Macaca mulatta: one gene and its partners. The protein of the gene in region 2 purifies or fractionates together with the protein of the main gene of each other region. This does not show direct contact. Links are inferred from orthologs where the notes say so. Each region holds a gene or a part of one and is shown on either strand. Other genes may lie near its edges.

The links. Proteins that work in one complex are often made in the same cells at the same time.
Region 1: the proteins of DMD (region 2) and SNTB2 purify together in Homo sapiens (co-immunoprecipitation; 4 studies listed by BioGRID and IntAct, counting the BioPlex papers as one, with this or other methods). This does not show direct contact. The link is inferred for Macaca mulatta from reciprocal best matches to the Homo sapiens genes DMD and SNTB2.
Region 3: the proteins of DMD (region 2) and SNTB1 purify together in Homo sapiens (co-immunoprecipitation; 4 studies listed by BioGRID and IntAct, counting the BioPlex papers as one, with this or other methods). This does not show direct contact. The link is inferred for Macaca mulatta from reciprocal best matches to the Homo sapiens genes DMD and SNTB1.

The regions. Positions count from the first base shown.
Region 1 is NC_133425.1:64,863,128-64,870,997, reverse strand, and holds part of SNTB2 (beta-2-syntrophin), read right to left. Parts: intron 6,180-7,870; coding exon 5,966-6,179; intron 1-5,965. UniProt on the Homo sapiens protein: Adapter protein that binds to and probably organizes the subcellular localization of a variety of membrane proteins. May link various receptors to the actin cytoskeleton and the dystrophin glycoprotein complex.
Region 2 is NC_133426.1:32,397,939-32,405,808, forward strand, and holds part of DMD (dystrophin), read right to left. Parts: intron 4,588-7,870; coding exon 4,375-4,587; intron 660-4,374; coding exon 546-659; intron 1-545. UniProt on the Homo sapiens protein: Anchors the extracellular matrix to the cytoskeleton via F-actin. Ligand for dystroglycan.
Region 3 is NC_133413.1:131,022,501-131,030,370, reverse strand, and holds part of SNTB1 (beta-1-syntrophin), read left to right. Parts: exon of another isoform or gene 1-620; intron 621-2,579; coding exon 2,580-2,787; intron 2,788-7,870. UniProt on the Homo sapiens protein: Adapter protein that binds to and probably organizes the subcellular localization of a variety of membrane proteins. May link various receptors to the actin cytoskeleton and the dystrophin glycoprotein complex.

The DNA of each region.
Region 1 (7,870 bases), on a different chromosome or scaffold from region 2:
TACTTCTCCTGTTTAGCAAAGTCTTTAATATAACTTAAGTGTTCAACTTAGTAATAATCATATAATTTTATACATTATAAAGGCAAAATTTACCTTTTACGTGGAAAATAGCCAATGTGAAGATGAGTGAGGCACTGTGAACCAATGCAAAGAACATGGATTTACATTTCCAAAAGGAGTATTTGAGAACACCTTGTTCTTCCTAAACTTCATACTGCCTACAATACTGATTGCTAAGGAAGGGGCTCATGTTCTCTCCTTGGACTTCATCATTATTTATTAAGTGTTTGCTTTTCAAAATGAAATACTTATAATTACCAGATGCATCAAATGAGGTCTTGAAAACTCAAGGTAGAGGAAGGGAGTAAAATTCTTCTTCCCCTGTACTTACTCATTCTGATCATTAGCACTTTTTACTTTTTCTCAGCTCTATGGAACCAAATCAAAGTAGTAAAGCAGAAAAAAAAGGCATTTTCCTCTAATATCAAACACATTTTTGGTTTAGAAAGTGAAGGCTTTAGATACGAATGAAGGATGAGCCACAAAAAGATTCCACTATGTACCCACCAGAAAGGTAAATATTAAAAAGACTGATAACATCAATTTTGGTGAGGATGTGAAACAATGAAAACTCTCATATAATGGCAGGAACATAAAATGGCACAAAATAGCACAATTACTTTGGAAGGAAGTCTGGCAGTTTAGCTTATTTTATTTTTTTTATTTTTAGTAGACATGGGGTTTCGCCATGTTGGCCAGGCTGGTCTCAAACGCCTGACCTCAGGTGATCTACCACTCTCGACCTCCCAAAGTACTGGGATTACAGGCATGAGCCACTGTGCCCAGCCTGGCAGTTTGTTGCTGTTGTTATTGTTGTTTTTGAGACGGAGTTTCACTCTTGTTGCCCAGGCTGGAGTGTAAGTAATGGTGCGATCTCAGCTCACGGTAACCTCCGCCTACCGGGTTCAAGCGGTTCTCCTCCCTCAGCCTCCCGAGTAGCTGGGATTACAGGCATGAGCCACCATGTCCAGCTAATTTTGTATTTTTAGTAGAGATGGGGTTTCTCCATGTTGGTCAGGCTGGTCTCGAACTCCTGACCTCAGGTGATCTGCCTGCCTCAGCCTCCCAAAGTGCTGGGATTACAGGCATGAGCCACCACGCCTGGACTAGTTGTTTTTTTTTTTTTTTTTAAGCTAAATATGCACCTATCCTTTGACCCAGCAATTCCACTCCTACAAATTTACCCCACAGAAATGAAAAAGTTTCTGAGGCCTTTAAACCAGAAGAAGAAGAAGAAGAAAAAAAAGGAAAGTACAAAAATATTCAGTGACTTTATTAATACTAACTCTATACTGGAAATTGCTCAAGTGACCATCAATAAAAAACAGATGAACAAATGGATATTTCCTTTAACAGAGCTGAGATAAATTTAAGGACCAATGAGCTCCAAGTTATTTTATTATTTTATTTTTATTTTTATTTCTTTTTGAGACAGAATCTTACTCTGTCACCTGGAGTGTCCAGGCTGGAGTGCAGTGGCACAATCTCGGCTCACTGCAACCTCCGCCTCCCAGGTTCAAGTGATTCTTATGCCTCAGCATCTTGAGTAGCTGGGATTACAGGTGTGTGCCACCATGCCTGGGCAATTTTTTGTTATTTTTAGTAGAGACAGGGTCACAAACTCCTGGCCTCAAGTGATCTGCCTGCCTTGGTCTCCCAAAGTGCTGAGATTACAGTCACGAGCCCCCTGCCCCAAGTTATTTTATAGATTATTATTTATTCTCATTCTAAAGTATATAGTTGAGCAGATATTACGACCATTCTACAGACAGAGAAAACAGGCGGCCAGAGAAATTAAGGAACTTATTTAAGGTCACAAGGACACTAACAATGCCTATAATAATAACTTGAGAACTTACTGATTCTATAATTACTGTCTTATTTAATCCTCCTATAATCTTATTTTATACAGGGGAAATGCAAGGCTTGTGGAAAACAAGTAGCCTGACCAACATTACGAAGCCTATCTTCCTAACTTCTATCTTCTCTCATAACTGAGGTCTAATTAGTTAATGGTTCTGTACATTTTTTCTGCCAAGACACACAGATGTTCATATTCCCATAAGTATAGCCGAAATTATGCATATTTTTTGCAAACTCCTTGTAATCCTAATGCTCTTATGTCTAAAAAGCACATGGAAATGCAAGTATAAGTGGTATCATCATAGGAATAACTTTGAATCTCTTCCAATTTATATTTTACAAAAAGCAAATAATGTGCAAATTTTTTTATTTTTAAAAAATTTTTTTTGAGACACAGTCTTGCACAGTGCCATAATCTTGGCTCACTGCAACCTCTGCCTCCCGAGTTCAAGCAATTCTCCTATCTCAGCCTCCCAAATAGCTGGGATTACAGGCGTGCACCACCACACCTGGCTAATTTTTGTATTTTTAGTAGAAACGGTGTTTCACTGTGTTGGCCAGGCCGGTCTCAAACTCCTGATGTCAAGTGATCCACCTGCCTTGGCCTCTCAAAGTGCTGGGATTACAGGTGGGAGCCACTGCACCCGGCCAAATTTTGATATCTTAAGTAAAATTAGAACAAGTTGCTTTGAAGCATTAAGACTGAGAATCTCAAAACTAGCGTGGATCTTCTAAGACCTTTCCTTATATAGTATGCCATGGTCAAGTAGACTGATCATTTATTGAAAAGGAAGGTATAATAGCACAACTCTGGTAGCCCCAAACTGCCCTCTCCATTTGGTTCTGAAGACCTACTTCACATGTGACCATCACCAAATGTCTTTAGCGTATAAATATGTCAGAGAATTCAGCCCCCAAGTTTTAACAAAGACCAAGGTTACTGGACTTCAATCCTTAGTGAATGATGAAGTAGCACAACATTTAGCAATACAGCCAAGTCATATCATCTTCTTCCTTCTTTCTTTGCCCACTCCCACAACCCTGGGTTTCTATAGAAATTTTATAACATTTTGCCTTTTTCTTCAATACCCAGCTACATCAGCAGCACTATAGGTACCTATTCTCAGAAATAATTTATTGCCGGGCGTGGTGGCTCATGCCTGTAATCCCAGCACTTTGGAAAACCAAAGTGAGTGGATTGCTGGAATCTAGGAGTTGGGGACCACTCTGGGCAATGTAGCAAAACCCTTTCTCTACAAAAAATACAAATATTAGCTGGGCATAGTGGCATGTACCTGTAGTCCCAGCTACTTGGGAGGCTGAGGCAGGGGAATTACTTGAGCCCAGGAAGCAGAGGTTGCAGTGAGCTGAGACCATGCCATTGTACTCTAGCCTGGGCGATGGGAGTGAAGCCTGTCTCAAAAAAAAAAAAAAAAAAGAAATGATTTATAACAAAATTGACTCTGTACTTTTCTCAGCCTGACAGCTAGTTGACAAATGTAGTTGTAATTTGTTTTTCTTTATCACATTGTTTCTCTATTCTATTTAATTCTCTATGGTCCCTAACTTAAAAAAAAAAAAAGCCCATAATTAACAGACCAACTGCTCTATATAAATGTATCTCTTTTCTCTCTCTCTCTCTTTTTTTTTTTGGTAGAGATAGGGTCTTGTTATATTGCCCAAGCTAGTCTTAAACTCCTGGCCTCAAGCAATTCTCCTGCCTCAGCCTCCCAAAGTACTGAGATAAGTGTGAGCCGCCACCATGTCTGGCTCAAATGTATCTCATTTATTTTATTTATTTATTTATTTATTTGTTCTTGAGACAGAGTCTTGCTCTGCCACCCAGGCTGGAGTGCAGTGGTGCAATCTCGGCTCACTGCAACTTCTGCCTCCCAGGTTCAAGCAATTCTTCTGCCTCAGCCTTCCAAGTAGCTGGGATTACAGGTGCCTGCCACCACACCTGGCTAAGTTTTGTATTTTTAGTGGAGACAGGGTTTCACCATGTTTGCCAGGCTGGTCTTAAACTCCTGACCTCAAGTGATCCACCTGCCTCAGCCTCCCAAAGTGCTGGGATTCCAGGCGTGAGCCACCTATCCCAGCCCAAATTAAATTATTACTTTATGAAAAGAATACAAAATTTCTTTAAAGATCAAGCTGTGTTGCACTTAGATGATTCAACATACATACAACCTTCCAGGAATAAACCTATACGTAGCACAAAGTAATTTCTACAATGTCTTGAACTTTTAAAACAAAGCCAAAAATTTAAATATATCAGAATATAATTTTCAAAACGTGTTTACATAGTAGTCAGTTAAGACTTTTCTTGGCCGGGCGCGGTGGCTCAAGCCTGTAATCCCAGCACTTTGGGAGGCTGAGGCGGGCGGATCACGAGGTCAGAAGATCGAGACCATCCTGGCTAACACGGTGAAACCCCGTCTCTACTAAAAAATACAAAAAACTAGCCGGGCGAGGTGGCGGGCGCCTGTAGTCCCAGGAGGCTGAGGCAGGAGAATGGCGTAAACCCAGGAGGCGGAGCTTGCAGTGAGCTGAGATCGCGCCACTGCACTCCATCCTGGGCGACACAGCGAGACTCCGTCTCAAAAAAAAATAAAAATAAAAAAAAGACTTTTCTTAAGAGACAGGATATTGTTCTGTCACCCAGGCTACAGTGCAGTGGCAAAATCCTAGCTCACTGCAGCCTTGAACTCTTGGGTTCAAGTGATCCTCCCACCCTAGCCTCCCAAGTAGCTAGGACTACAGGTGCACGCCAGTAAGTCTGGCTAATTTTTTTTTTAAATGCCGTAAAGGCAGCGATTCACTATGTTGCCCAAACTGGTCTTAAATTCTAGCTTTAAGCAATTCTCTAACCCTGGCCTCCCAAAGTGCTGGGATTACAGGTGTGAGCCATTGTGCTCAGCAGAGTTAAGACTTTTTAAAAATACTATTTCTTGAGAACCTACTGTATGTGCTTGGCTCTGTGTAAGGGCCTTTACAGGTACCATCTCATATAATCAGCACACTAAGTATCATTATCCCTTTTTTTACAGATGATGATATGGTGTTGTATAGAAGTGAAGGGACTTGCTCAGAACCTTACTTTGAGCAGGTGACCTAGTTGGGATTCACACCAAGATCTATCCGACTGCAGAGCTCAGTTCATTCCAGCAAACCTTGTAAAATACTACAGAGCAGAAGCTTTGAAGCCTTAAATACCCAAGGAGGCCTTAAAAACCCAAGGAGGCAATTCAGTTTCTTGGTGTCTTCTGTGCTCCATTCCATCCTGATCAGGCACCTGGCTGTGCATTAAGATCAGAGGAGACCATAATAGTGAAAACACATTATAAAAAGTCTGTCCTTAACTATGTCTTTGGGCAAGTTATTTTCATCTTATTTTTTCCCCTAATCTCTAACTTAACATTCGGTCTACCAGTGCCACTTCATGGAGTTAATGAAGACAAAGTTACAGAACACATATGATTATAGAACTAGGAGGGACATCAGAAATCATCCAATCTAATTTTCTCATTTTGCAAATGAGGAAACTGAGGTCAAGGGGAGCTAACTTGCCAGAGTCACACTGCTGGTTGATTCAGCCAAAACCATAATGCAGATCTCTAACTCTATACTACCTACAGTCTAAGGAATTTCCATCTAAGGAGATACTTAAAAATTTCTCTTTAACAAGAATTCTTTCAATTATAAAGTAATACATATTCATAGTGAAAAAAGTAATAACAACATTATGGAAAGATATAAAAGGAAGAGAAGATGCCCCCTCTTTCTTTCTCTCCCTTAATCTTATTTGACACCTTAGGGGTAAAGCCATTAACTGTTTCTTGTGTGCCTGTCCAAAATTTTTTCTACACATATACATGTATATATGTAGAATAACTTAAAATGTGGAACCCCAAAAATGCATCTCTCACCTTAGACTGATGTTTTCCTCTGTATAATTAAGTTAACAGAGTCATATAATACTGCAACATGTCCTTAAGTTTGTAAAGCTGTAGGTATGATGATCTTGTTAGGTACACCTCACCTGTTTTCCAGATCCGGCATGCTTAGGTTTCTAGCAGCAAAGCACATTTTGAGAGGGATGATCTTCCTGTCTTTGGTGCTGTTCTGGTGTTTTGGCGAACCAGAGTCCTCACTGCCACTAAAGCTTGGTGACTGGGGGGCTGCACCTTCCCACGGCAGATCTGATACTAATGATGGCTTCTTGATATATGGTGTTACTTCTCGGATGAACTTGACTATGAACAAAAAAATCAAAGAAGGTGGTTAGTAATTTTGCTTCCTATAATAAATGATAACTAAAGTATTCACATACATGCTATATCTATAACAAAGTGGGGGAAATGGCTGGGCGCGGTAGCTCACACCTGTAATCCCAGCACTTTGGGAGGCCAAGACAGGTGGATCACTTGAGGTCAGGAGTTCGAGGCCAGCCTGGTCAACATGGTGAAACCCCATCTCTACCAAAAATACAAAAAATTAGGTGGGCGTGGTGGCACACGCCTGTAGTCCCAACTACTCAGGAAGCTGAGGCAGAAGAATCGCCTGAACCCAGGAGGCAGTGGTTGCAGTGAGCCGAGATTGTGCCATTGTACTCCAGTCTGGGCGACAGAGCAAGACTCTGCCTCAAAAACAAACAAACAAACAAAGAAAAAGTGGGGGAAAAAAAGTAAGTTAAAGAGCCATGAATCCGCTGGAGATAGATTCAAAGTCAGACCCATCTAGGCTTTAGATGACTCAACCTTTAGAAACTTCTCCATACTTCTACCCATTGGTTCCCTGTCTTCTCAAGTCATATAAAACAAACTTAATCTCTCTTTTACATGAGAACTCTATAATTATCTGAAGACAGATTTTTCTCTTCTCTCTCCTCCCCATATTAAGCCAAGTATTTCTATTTCCATTCAATTCAATCAACTTTTATTAGCTACCTATCAAGTGTTGGGAATTAGGCTAGCTAGTAAGGACACGAGGGCAAATGAGCCATGGATTCTATCCCTCAAGGAATGCCCAGCCTTGCAGGGGAGACAGCTATGTAAACAGGTCATTACAGTTCTTAAAATCATTACAGTTCTTAAAAGTGCAAAAATAAAGCATATTCAAGATAAGGTATGATCTAATAAGCACAAAGCCAACTCAACTGATCCCGCTTGCTTGTTCAAAATACTCTGTTTCCATTAATGTAGCCCCAAATGAAAATCAAGCTTTTAGTAAATAGAAAGCTTTTTTAAGTTCAATTTTAAAACTCATGAAACTCTTCTTTTACTTCAGTCATGACTACAATTACTATCACTTGAGGCATGGTGTTCTTGTTTCAAAAACTAGACAAACTGGCTGGGCACAGTGGTACACAGAGTTTCTCCTGTGAATAAGTAAAATATGCACATAAAATAAAACTCAAGAGGTATAAAAGGTTTTATAATAAAACTCCAGATTTCTAGCTACCCTGTCTCCATTCCTGGAGGCAACCATTCAAAGAGATGCCTGGTATGCCAAGCATGTATGAAAGTAAACACATACATGTGCATGTATATCTGATCATACATATGGTAGTATATTATGCTTACTGTGCTGTGCCTTGGTTTTCTTTATTTAATAAGGTTGATGATAGTCTTTTATTGGCCTAATAGTTGATAGCTAATTCTACAGCATGATGTGGTCATAGAGATGCCTTTGGAATCAAGAAGACCTGGTTCAAAACCTAACTGTGCTTCTACTCAAAGCTATGTGACCACCCTTAACTGTTCTGAGGTCCTCATCTACAAAATGAGAGTAACACTAAGCAAATAAAAATTTCAGGCACATACTAAACATTCAATAAATACAGTAGCTACCTTTCTTTTTCCTTCCCTAAATTAGAAAGTTAGAGAAGAGTTAAAAAATGTTAATGGTAATCAGTAGAAGAGTTAAAGTTATTTTCTTAAACATT
Region 2 (7,870 bases):
TTATTTTCTTCCTGCTGCATGACAGTGGTATACTGAATATTATTTCAAAACTACATATTGTGTTATAGTACAGTGCATTATACATGAAGAGAACAACACAGTATGAATAATAATTTGTTGTAAGAAATAACAAGTAGCTCAAAGGATTCTTTACCTTTAAATTATACTGCATTTTATAGCAAAATAATGTTATCAACTGACGTTGAGTACAAGGCAATGCTTTCTCAATTCCTCACTTACTCAACCCAGGGTTTCTCAACATTGGCACTAGTGACATTTTAGATTGTGCAGTTCCTTGTTGTGGAGGGCTGTTCAATGGACTGAAAGATACTTAGCAGCATCTCTGTCCTCTACCTACTAGACACCAGTAGCATCTAACCACCACCCCCAACCCAGTTATGACAATCAAAAATGTCTACAAGCATTAAAAAAAACATCTGCTGGTGAGGGGAGGGCAAAATCCACCCCAGCTGTAAAACACTGATCTAACCAAGTAATATTCATACAAAATTATTCATATTAAAGACATCATATAAAAATCGTACTCTGCACTGTTTCAGCTGCTTTTTTAGAATCTCTGAATCCCCAAGGGCAGGCCATTCCTCCTTCAGAAAAACATCAACTTCAGCCATCCATTTCTTCAGGGTTTGTATGTGATTCTGAAACGAGACCCATTATAAGGCATTACTGGTGTGCTGATTACTTCTAATACAATTCATCATTGTGTTATGTCTAAACACAAGCCCAAAAACGATTCCCATGTTTAAAGGATGTCTCTAAGTAGCTCTTGAGGAAAAGAATATTTTTACTAAGACTGCGTTTTTATGGTCTACTGTATGAGCACTGGTGTGTGAAGTCTGCTATTGTTAAAAATAAAAAATTACTACCAAATGCGGTTTTATGATGTTACTCTCAAGAACATTAAATCATATCCCCCTCTAGAGAAATTTTAAGTTACAAAACAACTCATGAGAATACTAACAATATGCCCTTACAGTACATAAAACAAACTATGAACAATAAACTCAATGTAATGGTGTCTTCATAGCCTCCCTAAACTCGAACTTCACAAATTGTTTTCTACAGATGACAGTTTAAATAGTCCCTCCAGTTGTGAACTTTCGGACTAAGATTTTGTCATCTTAGAAGAGAGAGCTTTTGTTTTTATTTGTCTGACCAGTATGAAGTAATGATCAGGTAAAAATCATCATCTTTTATCATTTATAAATAGCCAATATCTCTCATCCATGATTCTTTGCCATATTACCTTTCTTTCTGCTGTTTCGCTACTTTTAAAAAGTATGATTGAACTCTACTGTCTACATGAGTTTTCTTCCAATTTACTTAAATGTATATTGAAAATACATGCTCCACAGAAAGTTTCCCCTTTAATATGATGATTAATAATAATTTTTAAAGCACTTATCTAAGTCAGAGAACTTCAACATGATCACCTTGCTGTTGTCTTTCAAGTCTACATTTGCTCTTTTTCCACATCTTCACTGTCCTTGCTCAGGTCTTTTTTTTTTTTTTTTTTGAGACGGAGTCTTGCTCCGTCACCCAGGCTGGAGTGAAGTGGCACAATCTTGGCTCACTGTAGCCTCCACCTCCCAGATTCAAGTGATTACTCCTGCCTCAGCCTCCCAAGTAGCTGGGACTACAGGTGTGCACCACCATGCCCAGCTAATTTTTGTATTTTTAGTAGAGACGAGGTTTCACCATGTTGGCCAGGATGGTCTTGATCTCTGGACCTCGTGATCTACCCACCTCGGCCTCTCACAGTGTTGGGATTACAGGTGTGAGCCACTATGCCTGGTCTGTTCAGGTCTTATTACTGACTCCATTAATGCACTGGCTCATTTTGATATCTGCTTCGGTCTTACCTCATTCTAATTATTGATCTACAGTGAAGCCAGGAATCTTCTCTTCTCCTCCTTCCTCTTGCCATGGGAGTGTTTTGAAAACACAAGTGGAATCATATTATTTCCCTCTTTAACCAATAGCAGTTTTTTCTTATTGTTATTGTTATCACTCTCATTACCATTAGATTAAAACTCAGATCGTAAAACGTGGCATCCAAGGCCATTCACTGTCTACTCCCAAACCAGTTTTCCAACCATAATATTTTATTAATCCCCATATATATTGTCTCCCCAATGTTGAACTTATTCCAGTTAACTGAAAATGCTGCGATGCTTTCTCAAGAACTCTTCCTTTCTCGGTATTATCTAACTAAATTCTACCTATTCAATCTATAGCAGAGATAATCTATGTTCCAATAATATTTCACAATCTTTTTTTCTAGTTTATGTTAGATTTCCTTCCTGCCTACTGTGACAACCTTTCCCATATTGCTTTATTTACCATGGAAGGCTGAATAATGTTACCCCCAAGATGTCTACACCCTAATCTCTGAAACCTGTGAGTACATTACCCAACATGACAGAAAGGACTTTGCAGATGTGATTACTTTAAGGATTTTGAGATGGGGAGATTATACTGGATCATCCACCTGGGCATAATGTAATCACAAAGGTCCTAATTAAAAGGAAGTCAACACAAGGAACAGGACAGGGAGAGGAAGAGGAGGAGGAGAGGTAGAATGAGAGGGAGATGGAGATAGAGAGGGAGAGAGAAACTGACACTGGACGATGTTACACTGCTGACACTGAAGATGGAGGATGGGGATATGAGCCAAGGAATGCTTCTAGAAGCTAAAAATGCCAAAAAACAGACTCTCTCAAAGCCTCCAAAACACACACAGTCCTGCTGACACCTTAATTTTAGCCCACTGAGACTAATTCTGAGCTTCTGACTTCCAGAACTGTAATAAATTTGTGTTGTTTGAAGCTATTAAATTTCTGGCAGTTTGTTAGGATGCCATAGGAAACGAATATATCTACATTCCTCCTTCGCTAGAATGTGGACTCACTGATGACAAGAGGCATGTAATTGTGTCCTCTTAGGCCACTGGTCGTGGTAAATAATAGATATTTTCATGCAGTATTTACATAGGTATGCATGTACACATATGTTTATAAGTAAAGACATGCTATGCATTTAAGAATGTTTTAGGTTTGCTTAGTGCTTCGGTTTGTAAAAGGTAAGCACAAAAACTAAGTAGCTAGGCTGGGATTTAAATCCAGGAGCATCTTGTTGCAATGTTTTTCCATCATACCATAATGTTTTTGACATTTCCTTCCCAGTATTAACATTTTTCACAATAATTGACCACTCAAGGGACACATTACTTACCTCACTGAATAATTCAGGCTTTTAGATCTTAATGCAATTGTCGGTTTACTGTTTTTCTTTAGTTTGAGTGGTTATTACTATGATGGCACTATTCAAACAAATTAAGTCAAGAGCATTTGGTTTCAGGAAGAAGGTGATGGGGTAAAATTTAAGCATATAATTACAAATTCAACATGGTGATAAAATAATTACTATATCTTACATATGTAACATTAATATACATAACATGTTACATATGTGATATATGATTACTTTAGATATGTATATATGTACATGATATATAATTCAATTATATGCACATATATACACATATGTACACATTATATGTGTGTATATATACATACATATGGAAGCTAAAAATGCCAATAAAACACATTCTCTTTTAAAGCCTCCAAAACAGACACAGTTCTGCTAACACCTTAATTTTAGCCCACAGAGACTAATTCTGAACTTCCGACCTCCAGAACTGTAATATAATAAATTATGTTGTTTGAAGCCATTAAATTTGTGGTAATTTCTTAGGAGTGTCACAGGACATTAATACACCTACATTTCTCCTACACATATACATATATGGAGTTATACATAATGGGATTAATATATAATACAATTTTATGATTATATCACTGTATTTTATATACATAATAGCACATGTAGACAGCATAGTTTACTCATACTTTTTATAATAGCAAAACAGCAGAAACAAAACGTAATATAGGAAATAATAATACACATACTATACATTATACATATACTAATGTATATATACATAACTGTTTCCTAGTCATAAGATAAATGATTACCTGCATCTTAAAAGACAACCAGACTAAATGAATGATTGGTTTTGAAAATCATTAAACTAAAAACATGTTTAATTCCTATTGGTAATGGTGAAAATAGCAAATTAATTCTACAAAAAACTGAGAAAACTCTTATTCTTTTCTTAGAAGGAATAAGCAAATCACCATCCTTTGTAAAAGACTCATGTCTTTTCATCTTATCACTAACTTTGAAAGATGCTGGAGGTCAAATGTTTGCGTACCTTTACAGTTTACAGTGTATTGTTAGGAAAATAACAAGTACATAAAAATGAGTGTAGAAAGTAAAATCTTGAATTACCTGAATTTTTCGGAGTTTATTCATTTGCTCCTCTAGCTTTTGACAATGCTCGGCTAGCTGGGAGGAGAGCTTCTTCCAGCGTGTCTCAATTTCTTCAAATTCTAATTGATATTTTCGGCTGATTTCAGAGGGGGCTTTCTTTGACATCTCTTTCACAGTGGTGCTGAGATAGTTTAGGCCACTTTGTTGCTCTTGCAGAGAACTTTGTAAAACCTCAAAAACAATTTTTTAAATACATTTATACTAATTGATGAATAATTGATGAGTTTTCATTAAATTAACTATACTTAAAATGAAATCTATGATTCAAACATGTAAACAAAGTACATGATCTTATATCAGTTATAAACATCTAGTGGTAATTTAAATTTTACATATTATCCTAAGAGTAACCTGCATATTACTTAGTGATACTTTATTTAACACTCCCTATGCATTTTTCTAAACAATGTCAAATATATCTCAAAACTATATCTTACAGAGCCAAAGAGTTTTGGTGCATCTAATTTTACTGAATTAAGTATATATATATAACTAACAGCAGTTGTGATACAGTTAATGGAGTTGAAGTTAATTATACTGAGCTTTCAGGAAAGTAAACTCTACGCAAAACTATAGCTAATAATATTGATATATGCAATAGAAAAACTTACTGAATATGTACTTAATGTTTCATATTTTCAAAAAATGTTATTCTGTTATGTAGTATTATGGTGGGATTCAAGGATAATTTTGTGGAGAATTTATAAAATTTATTTATACTTATTCTGTATGACACATGAAATTTCTTACATTGGATGACAACTTTAGGCTTCCCCTGTTCAATATTTACTTAAATGTAACTTTCTCTTTATAAAATAATAAAGGTTCATTAAAAAAATGAAAAAAAAAGAACTACATTTTATATAAATTATCAATTTGTTCTATGTATAGCTAAATATTAAATATATGATCATATATGCACACATACCCAGTTATTCTTTCTCACATAATTTGACCTATATCAACCAAAATTTGTCAAACATCTAACTTTTGTAGTTTCATAGTATCCTATGCCTATTTGGTGGTACTTAACTTGTTGGTTTTTTTTGTTTGTTTGTTTTTGTTTTGTTTTTTTTTTTTTTGAGACGGAGTCTCGCTCTGTCGCCCAGGCCGGAGTGCAGTGGCCGCATCTCAGCTCACTGCAAGCTCTGCCTCCTGGGTTTACACCATTCTCCTGCCTCAGCCTCCCGAGTAGCTGGGACTACAGGTGCCCGCCACCATGCCCGGCTAATTTTTTGTATTTTTTAGTAGAGATGGGGTTTCACCGTGTTAGCCAGGATGGTCTCGATCTCCTGACCTCGTGATCCACCCGTCTCGGCCTCCCAAAGTGCCGGGATTACAGGCTTGAGCCACCGCGCCCGGCCAACTTGTTTATTTTTACTTTACTTTTATTTCACTGTTTTAAATTGTTCCCCTATGACTGATTATTTAGACAATACCTAGCATGTAACTACACTTTGAGCTAGGTTATTTTATTGGGAGCATTTGCCCTTGTCAATTTTTTGTTTTTTCAAAAACAAAAATTGTAATGGCTTCTCTAGTTTAACAATTTCCATTATTAGTTCTACAAATTGATTTCTAGTTTTCCACTCATGTAAATTATGTTTATCTCTAACTACCTACCTATCTATCTATCCATCCATCCATCAATGTCCTATCTATCTCCAGTTCCATTTACATCTTTGAGTGTATTCTGATTATTTCTGTAAGACATAGACTTCCTGGAAATTATATTAACATTGTTGTATGTTATTAGGATGCACTGAAGTGTTAACCTCAGTAAAATTCATACTGAGTTTACATTTCCAGCAGTAAGAGAGAATTTTTAGTTCACCACTTCCAAATCCATACTTATATCTTTTGTGTGTGTGTACACAATTTAGTATGTAAAAAAGTTACCTCATTTTGTAACTTTTTTTTACTTCTTCCTTTACAATTTAAGTTACAATTATTCATAGATTTATTATTCATATATGTCTCTTTTTGGAGGATACCTTACTCAAGACTTTCTTCCTTACTCACAGAAAAAAAAAAAAAAAAAAAAAAAAAAGAAAGTTTCCTTGGTATCATATTTCCTTAAAATTGTCTCTGGTGTTTTTACAATGACTGTGATTGCTTCCATTGATTTTTAAGCTTCTCTACCTCAATTTTTATAACATTATTATTTTAAACATTTTCCAAAGTTTACACTTCCCCACATTTTTGAACATTCTATTGTATGTGGTTTTTATTTTGGTGTAACTTTGGGGGAAATGTTCATACCTTATTTTTTTGTTAATTAATACATTTCCCAATAATATTTATGAACGATTATTTTCTTTCCTATTTTTTTCAGTGGAAATAGTGTCTTCTGCTCATCTAATTGCCTTTTCTTGTGTGTTTTCTTCACTTTCCTTATTGTTGCACGTTTTTATTCTTATTTTTTAAAGTTTACTAGTTCTATTAGGCCACACATTTTTCCAAATAGACTTTGGAATCATTATGCCAAGCATTAAAAACTGCAACAAAAGGAAACAAAAAAGGCTAAACAACTACCATTTGGTATCACAGAATATCTAAATAGGACAATATATAACGAAAGCTGCTTAAATATATTTTCCTTTGAATACATTACTTCAAAAAAATATTTAATTCTCAGGAAAAGATTCTATACGATAAAGTTAAAATTTGAATTTTTAAAACATTTTTCTTAAAGGGCACATATTATCTCAGCTTCTAAATATAACTCATATGTTTTCATGTCTTAAGAAATAAAAAGTTATTGAATATATTATGCAGTATTTTAAAATTAGTAGGAAAAGGGCTAGACACAGTGGCTCATGCCTGTAATCCCAGCACTTTGGGAGGCTGAGGCAGACATATCATCTGAGGTCAGGAGTTTGAGACCAGCCTGGCCAACATAGTGAAACCCCATCTCCACTTAAAAAATACAAAAGTTAGCTGGGTGGGGTGGCGCGTGCCTGTAATTCCAGCTACTCAGGAGGCTAAGGCAGGGGAATCTCTTGAACCCGGGAGGCGTAGGTTGCAGTGAGCCAAGATAGCACTACTGCACTCCAGCCTAGGCAACAAGAGTGAAACTCTGTCTAAAAATAAAACAAAACAAATAAAGTAGGAAAAGTATTCTAAAATCTCTTACAAATTATTTCTTTCATTTCCCATATTAGTATATCTTTCCTGATACAAGGATGTTAAAAAATGTAGCTATTAGAATTCAAATATCTCATTACATTATTACATAAAATTAATGTTTAAGTTTAAACTAATTTTATAAATATAGGCAGACCTCCATATTTGTGGATTCTGAATCAGTGGATTCAATCAACTACTAATAGATAATATTAGAAAAAAATAACTACAACCGTACTCAACATGTAAGACTTTTTCATTGTCACTACTTCCTAAATAATACAGTATAACATCTATTTTCATAGTATTTACATTGTATTAGATATTA
Region 3 (7,870 bases), on a different chromosome or scaffold from region 2:
GTGTGAGGACAGTTGTCACCAAAAGAATTCCCTGTTCCATCACATAAAATTTTTGGTATCTCACTGGGGAGACTGGCTTTGCAAATTCCTTAAAAAGAATACTAATTATGGCTAAAGTTCTCCTAGTGACATCCCACTTTCCAAACCTTCCCTCTTCTACAACTTATGCTTGTGGTAAAACGGTTTAGTCACTGTAAAAGGTTGGTTTCAAATGTTAATGAAGCCAAGTTGCACTGGGTCTTCTAACTCTCAAGCCATCTGCAAAATTGTTATTTTGAAACTCAGGAGCTAGGTGGAACATTATTGGGCATGGTTGTTGATGATGAATACTACACTTCACATCACTGCAGAAGTCAGTGAATGCCCCCCATAGGACATTGTCCAATCTCAAGGAAAGGTATTGTGGTATAGTATTTAAATTCACAGGCTTTTGAGCCTATTTAACATGGGTTTTCATCATTCTCAGCAAACTATTGCAAGAACAGAAAACCAAACACCGCATGTTCTCACTCATAGGTGGGAACTGAACAATGAGATCACTTGGACTTGGGAAGGGGAACATCACACACCAGGGCCTATCATGGGGAGGGGGGAGGGGGGAGGGATTGCATTGGTAGTTATACCTGATGTAAATGACGAGTTGATGGGTGCTGATGAGTTGATGGGTGCAGCACACCAACATGGCACATGTATACATATGTAACAAACCTGCACATTGTGCACATGTACCCTAGAACTTAAAGTATAATAATTAAAAAATAAATAAATAAAAATTAAAAAAAACATGGGTTTGAATCCCAGCACCACCAACAGTGTGGCCTTGGGTAAATTGCTTCTTCCTCTCTCTCTCTCTCCAAAGTTCAATTTTTTCTTCCGTTAAGGGGGGGTTAATAATATCAGTCATAGGGCTATTAGAAGCATTATATATAATAATATAAAATGATTTAAAAGTTTGCCTGGCACATAGTAAATTCTCAGTGAATAATAGCATGATTATTAAGGGATGAAAGGAAGTTAATAAATGGATAATTCTATTCAGCTTTGAATTTCCAAATCCCTGTATCATTCTAATGTAAACATGAATGAATAAATGATATTTATTGCATATACACATGAATGAATATTGGGGTTTTTTTTTCTCTATGCAATTAAAAAGTATCTAAAATTTACAGATACGGAGAACAGGTTAGTTGTTGCCTAGGGACAACAACTAGGTGGGGGTGGGGGACACACGACTAAAAAGGGGTAGTTGCGGGGGAGATTAAAGATCTCTGCTTTGTGGTGATGGAGTAGTTCTGCCTTGTAATTGCAGTGGGGTTTACACAAATCTACACATGAAAAAATGGCATAGAACTACACCTTCACATTGTACCCATGTCAGTTTCCTAGTTTTGATAGTGTACTACAGGAGGTAAAATATAACCACTGGGGGAAACTGGTAAAGGGCATCCCAGACTTCTTTGTTCTATTTGTGCAACTCCATGCTAATCTATAATTACTTCAAAATAAAAAGTTAATGACATAAAGTATCTGTTGAGAATTTCCTTCTTTTACCACAATTACAGTATACAGATTTCTCTGTTTCTTCAGTAATCCAATTAGAGTTCTGGCATAAGCTTTGTCGTTGAACTTTTATTTTTATTTTAGTTTATTTTAGTTTATTTTATTTGAGACTGAGTCTCACTCTGTAGCCCAGGCTAGAGTGCAATGGCTTGATCTCAGCTCACTGCAACCTCTGCCTGCCGGGTTCAAATAATTCTCCCACCTCAGCCTCCTGAGTAGCTGGGATTACAGGCACCTGCCATAATGCCTGGCTAATTTTTGTATTTTTGTAGAGACAGGGTTTCACCATCTTGGCCAGGCTGGTCTTGAACTTCTGACCTCAGGTGATCTGCCCACCTCAGCCTCCCGAAGTGCTGGGATTACAGGCGTGAGCCAGCATGCTGGGCCTGGACTTTAAATACATAATATTTTAAGTGCTCTCTCCCCGTTGTTACCCCTTCCTAAGCCAATTCACACCTTCACACCATGGGTCTGAGGATTAAGTGGACGCTAAATGTGCTACAGACAAAATTCCTAAAAGATGCAAAGTTTGGTCATCTTCGATTCTAAAATATTCTCAATTGATTAACACTGAGCAGCAGGATTAAGCATGTGGCTAGATATATTTCAATCTGTTTCCTGCCAGCACCAGCAAGGATGTGAGTATATTATTAAAATCCTCTGTGAATTAAGAAGTAAGGCAAATTAGTATCAGCTCACAGTTTGGAAGTCTCGATATGATACTACTAATCAGCAAATCAGCTGAATAACAAGAAAATCAGATAACCTTAATTTAGGTGATTTGGTGGTTGCACAGCTGTGTTCCCAGTATGTAGACCAGTACTTGGGCACCCAGTAAATATGCGTGGATGAATTAATGAGTGAATGAATGGATAGCGGGACCATTAAGGCATCCCATGGGAAACTGACAAAGTCTAAAAATAGGAGTAAAGAATTAATTCACCTTTGTGGCCCAGGTCTTGACGAAGCAGGACCTGCCAGGAAACTTTCTAACCCTTTTCTCTATGTTCCTCTAGGCAGCTTGAAATCCACTCTCCAGATGCTAAGCACACAGTGATCCTAAGGAGCAAGGACTCAGCCACTGCCCAGGCATGGTTCAGTGCCATCCATTCCAACGTTAATGACCTGCTGACCCGAGTGATTGCTGAGGTCAGAGAGCAGCTGGGGAAAACAGGCATTGCTGGGAGCCGAGAGATTAGGCATCTTGGCTGGCTTGCAGAAAAGGTAAGAAAAATACCTTCCTCTATAATAGTCATCCTTCCCGAGATTCCCCCAGCGCTCATAACCACTAAAGTTATCTCATTCCATAGGCTGATTCTCTCATTCACAGTCTGTGTGGATTTCTTATCCCTCTCCAGCAGGCTACAGGCCTTTACATTATACAGGGGTTTTGTCTTAATTGAATTTGATTACCTGCATTTAGTTAAACATGTGGCAGATTGCACGGGGTCCAGGTTGTTGGATGATGGATGAACGAGTGAGTTGAGGAATAGTTTGATTTTAACTTCTATGTATGAAGGGAAGGGAAAATAACTCAACCTCAGAACAGAGCTGTTGCTTTGGGAGGCAAGGAAGTCCAAATTATTGCTTCAAAAGGGTTTGTGTGGGTTTTGATGAGCCTGTTTGTTAATAACACAGACACTTTTGAGATGATTCAATTATACATTTACAAGTAACAGCAAGGATTACTTGAGCAATTACTATAAGCTGGCTCTTTTCTTATGTTACCTTATATTTTATTTGTGCTGTTAAGCCAGCCGCTCTTTAATGCCATCATTAAAGAGCACCTATTTTTGTGAGGCACAGTGCGAGGCAGGAGTCGGGGAGGGAGTGAACACATAAAAAGACTTAGCCTCTGTCTCAGAGAGGACAGCTGCTGTGGAAAAGACTTTGGGTCATATTAACACGGTCCCTGATTTCTTTTCCCAAGTTATGGGATATGTTAAAGATAGTAAAACTCACTTTGTGGCCATCTCTTGGGAGTTACTCTTTCTCTCTATTTCAAAGGATTGAGTCTTTGCCATTGTCCTTACATATGATTGCTGTCCCTTGAAGTTGACCTTGAGTGCTCAGGAACGCTGGACTTTGGGGATGATCTGACCTCCCAGTGACTCACTTTCTAATAGACAGTAAATGGGAATAGTGAATGTCACAATAACACGTTTCCTGCCAAAGAACTCTGTCATCTGAGAAGGCCCGGTCATATGGCACCTGGAATAATACCTGAACACACCAGTTGGCTGTTTTCCGTCATTGTGCTTTGTTTGCAGCAGATCATGCCTGGGTCTTAGCCTAACAATTTAACACCAGATGGGTTGTTTGACTTGGTATTGTCCTATCTCTCAGAGATTTCAAAGAACCAAAGGGACAATGCAGGTGATAGGAGCATCCAAATTCATAATAAACACAAACCACCCGTAGCCTTTCATGAGTTTATGTGTTAGGGTTCCTGAAGAAAACAAGACCATAAATCTGGATGGCTGATACGATTTTGAAAGTCACATCTCTATCACTCTCCACTTTCTACTCTCTTCAAATGCATGTGTTTTTATTAGGAAAGGGCCTGATAGTCAAGGATCTTCCCATTACAAGTGGCAGAAAACTCAACTCAATTTAGCCTGAGCAAAATGGGCATGCCTGGGTTCTGATAACTGCAATGTCCAAAGATAAGCTTCAGGCATGGTGGGATCCAGGGACTTAAATAATGTATTAAGTCTAAGTCTCCATCTCTTTCTTTCCCTGTCCTTTCATTAGTTTATTACCAGGCTTCCTCTTTAGTTGGCCTGACGGTTCCAGGCTTATGTTTTCTTTGCTCCTGGTTGTCTCAGTGAAGAATGGCTTCTTTGCCCCAATTGTTCCAACACAAGTCCTGAGATTATAAGTCTAATTGGGTTGACTTGGATAATTTGTTCAGTCTTAGTGCTGAAATCAGCCTCACCTAAGTCATTTGCAGTGAGGATGAGGAGGGGTGGTTCTCTAATGGAAAAAATCAGGTGCTGTGCAAGAAAAACAAGCAATGGATACCAGGGAAGCAAAAGCAACCAACATTTACTGTAGAACAAGAGAAGGAGCTGATTGTGATGAAAAATGCTCTCACTTGGTTAAGGTTCTGGGTGGACTTGGAGATACAGCACATATTTTAGGATCCTGGCAGCAGATGGATGGGAAGGTTGAAAGGGATAATTGGAAAGGATTTAATGCAGGAATAATTTATAAGGTGTAGCCAAGGTTTGGAAAACCAATAAGAGAGAGAGAAGAACTCCAGGGCCAACAGTAGTAAGAGGCCACTACCATCCCTTGACCAGAAAGGGCAAGGAGAAGCAGCAGTTACCTGAGACTAGGGAGGCTTCTAGCTGTAGAAAAGTGCCACCTACTACCACTGTGGTATTTGGAAGAGAAATGCAGCCCCTGCCAACCCCTGCCCACTGACCCCCTGCTGGTGTCTTCCAAAGGCTGAAGCTGGCTGGAAGCCAGAGGCAAGAAGCCCCATGGATGCACTCTTAAGGTGAGTCTCCCAGGGTACAGAGAAGGATGGGAAAGGTAGAGACTGGATCTGAAGGGGCAGAGGGAGGCTGGCCAACACATACAATCTTGCATCTTCCAAGTTGATGGTCTTAATTCTTAGAGGTACTTTTCTCTCATCTCTTTAAATACAAGCTATGTTTAAAATCATTACCATTATTCATGAAATTAAAAAATCTTCCAAAGGTTACTCTTTCTCACCTATAATTTGTCTCATGCCTTTTGCTTATCCCAAATTATTAGCAGACATATTATTAGACATTCTCATGGAACAGTAATAAATGTGCATATAAAGCTCTTCCTGTTTTTAGCATATGATTGTTCTTATGATGTAATTTCAGATCATCATTCCAGAGGTCTCCTTAAGGGTATTATGCAGAGTATCTGTAAGAGCAGTAATGATCATGGATAATTATAAGAAGCAAGAATGTCTTTTATTGTCTTCATTTTCACGCTTCTCAGAAGATTACCATAGATCAAGTTTAAGGGAACAAATCCAAACTGGATTTTTTTGAATAAATATTTAATACTGAATCCTGGTGTGCAGATATATGAATGGTTTTTAGCAAAATGTTACAATGAATGGCAAATCCTTAATACGATGCCTTTCTTATATTATCATAAATACCATGAATTCGCTTGGTATTTGTAAAGACATAAAATGTGATCCTATATCTATCTAGCTGTAATTTATCTTAAATTGACATTCTTTGTCTTTTCCTATGTTGTTATATTTTGATTTTGTAAATTTATCACAGTCACTCTGTGACAAGGTTGTACAGATTATATTTAATTTAGTTTCAAGTTTTTAGAAGTGGCATTTATGTGAACTCAAAAAATATGAAACAACAACTTCCTTTTTAAATTTCCGTTTAGTGCAAATCTTAAAATCTCCTCAACACTATACAGGAGGAAAATTTAGTATTAACATTATTTTTCTTCATGAGATAGTCAGGAGACTTGAAGAATGGCTTCTGAGAAATGACAGGGATTTGAGTGAATGGAGACATTTCCCTGCACTCCAAGAGAGGAGAAAGAAGGAAGGCCTGTGTTAGTATGGCTTGTTGGGGGACTGGGGGGAAAGACCAGAGACTGATCTAAAGTGAAGCGAGAGTTCATCCTGGAGAAAAGTGATAAGAGGACCTGACACCTTGACTAGAACTTGATTATGGAAGATTTTTTTTTTTTAATAGACAGTGTCTCACTATGATGCCCAGGCTGGAAATCCTGGACTCAAGCAATCCTTCTGCCTCAGCCTCCCAAGTAACTGGGACTACAGGTGTGTGCCACTGCACCTGGCTACCAATTATGGAAAATCTGCTTTCGTCTGTGAGCACTGTCACCTGTAGATGGGTCATGTACATCAATGTAAAGCCCTTCCCATGTCCATATTGGCCTCAAATCTTTCTTTCTTTTTTTTCTTTGAGATGGAGTCTCACTCTGTCTCCCAGGCTGGAGTGCAGTGGCGTGATGTTGGCTCACTGCAATCTCTGCCTCTGAGTTCAAGCGATTCTCCTACCTCAGCATCCTGAGTAGCTGCAATTACAGGCACATGCCACCACACCCAGCTAATTTTTGTAGTTTTAGTAGAGATGGGGTTTCGCTCTGTTGGCCAGGCTGGTCTCAAACTCCTGACCTCAGGTGATCTGGCCACCTCGGCCAGATCCTGGGATTACAGGTGTGAGCCAACGCGCCCAGCCAGCCTCAAATCTTTTAACTCCTTGCAAGCCCCCATGTGGCCCAAGATGAGCCACTAACTCCTGTGAATTGTAAAATGCGTCATGCCCCAAACACATTTTTCCCAATCTTTGTTTCTTAGTTCATCTAATCCTTTTACAATTATCGTTACATTTCAGATAAGAGAAAAACAAGCTAAGTTCTGACTCTCCTGCTACTTAGAAAAACAGTAATAAACAGGGACACAGCAGAATTGTTGAGTTATATTTTGTGCTCAGTTCATCAGGCATTCCCTTTGCTTTCCCTTGTTATCTCGGTTTGCAAACTATTTCTTGTCAGATTAAATATGCAAAAACACAACACAGCAAAACAAAAGCCCAGATGGGAGCTCTGAGATGCAAGTTCAGGTATCAGCTTTATTAATTTCCATTTCGTATTCTTTCAAATGGGAGCGTTTAAATAGTTGTGCCTCCCCATGGCGTTACTGGAGAAAAGGAAGTTGGTAATTCATACTTATTATGGGCAATATGCTTCAAATAATCCAAATCCAATGAGGTAAACTTGTAGTATTTGAGTAACTTTTCTAAGATCTCTCCTCTAGTATGCGGTAGATTTAGAATTTGAGCTTCTCTTTCTAACTCCAAAGTCCAGCACTTTCCACTAAGCTGACCTTATAAAGGGGCCCAGGAAACATCTGTCCTTATGAGTAATGCCTCCAACAATCCCATCTAGAGCAGTATCACAGACCAGAAGCACAGTTTCAGAGCTAAAAGACATACTAAGATAATTCAAATCCTTTTAAATTATGAAAATAAGGGAAATTTCCATCCTGGCTAACATGGCGAAACCCCGTCTCTACTAAAAATACAAAAATTAGCTGGGAGTTGTGGCGGGCACCTGTAGTCCCAACTACTCTGGAGGCTGAGGCAGGAGAATGGCGTGAACCCGGGAGGCAAAGCTTGCAGTGAGCAGAGATCACACCACTGCACTCCAGCTTGGGCGACAGAGCGAGACTCCGTCAGGAAGGAAGGAAGGAAGGAAGGAAGGAAGGGAGGGAGGGAGGGAGGGAGGGAGGGACGAAGGGGAAATTTGTATACCTAGGCCGGGC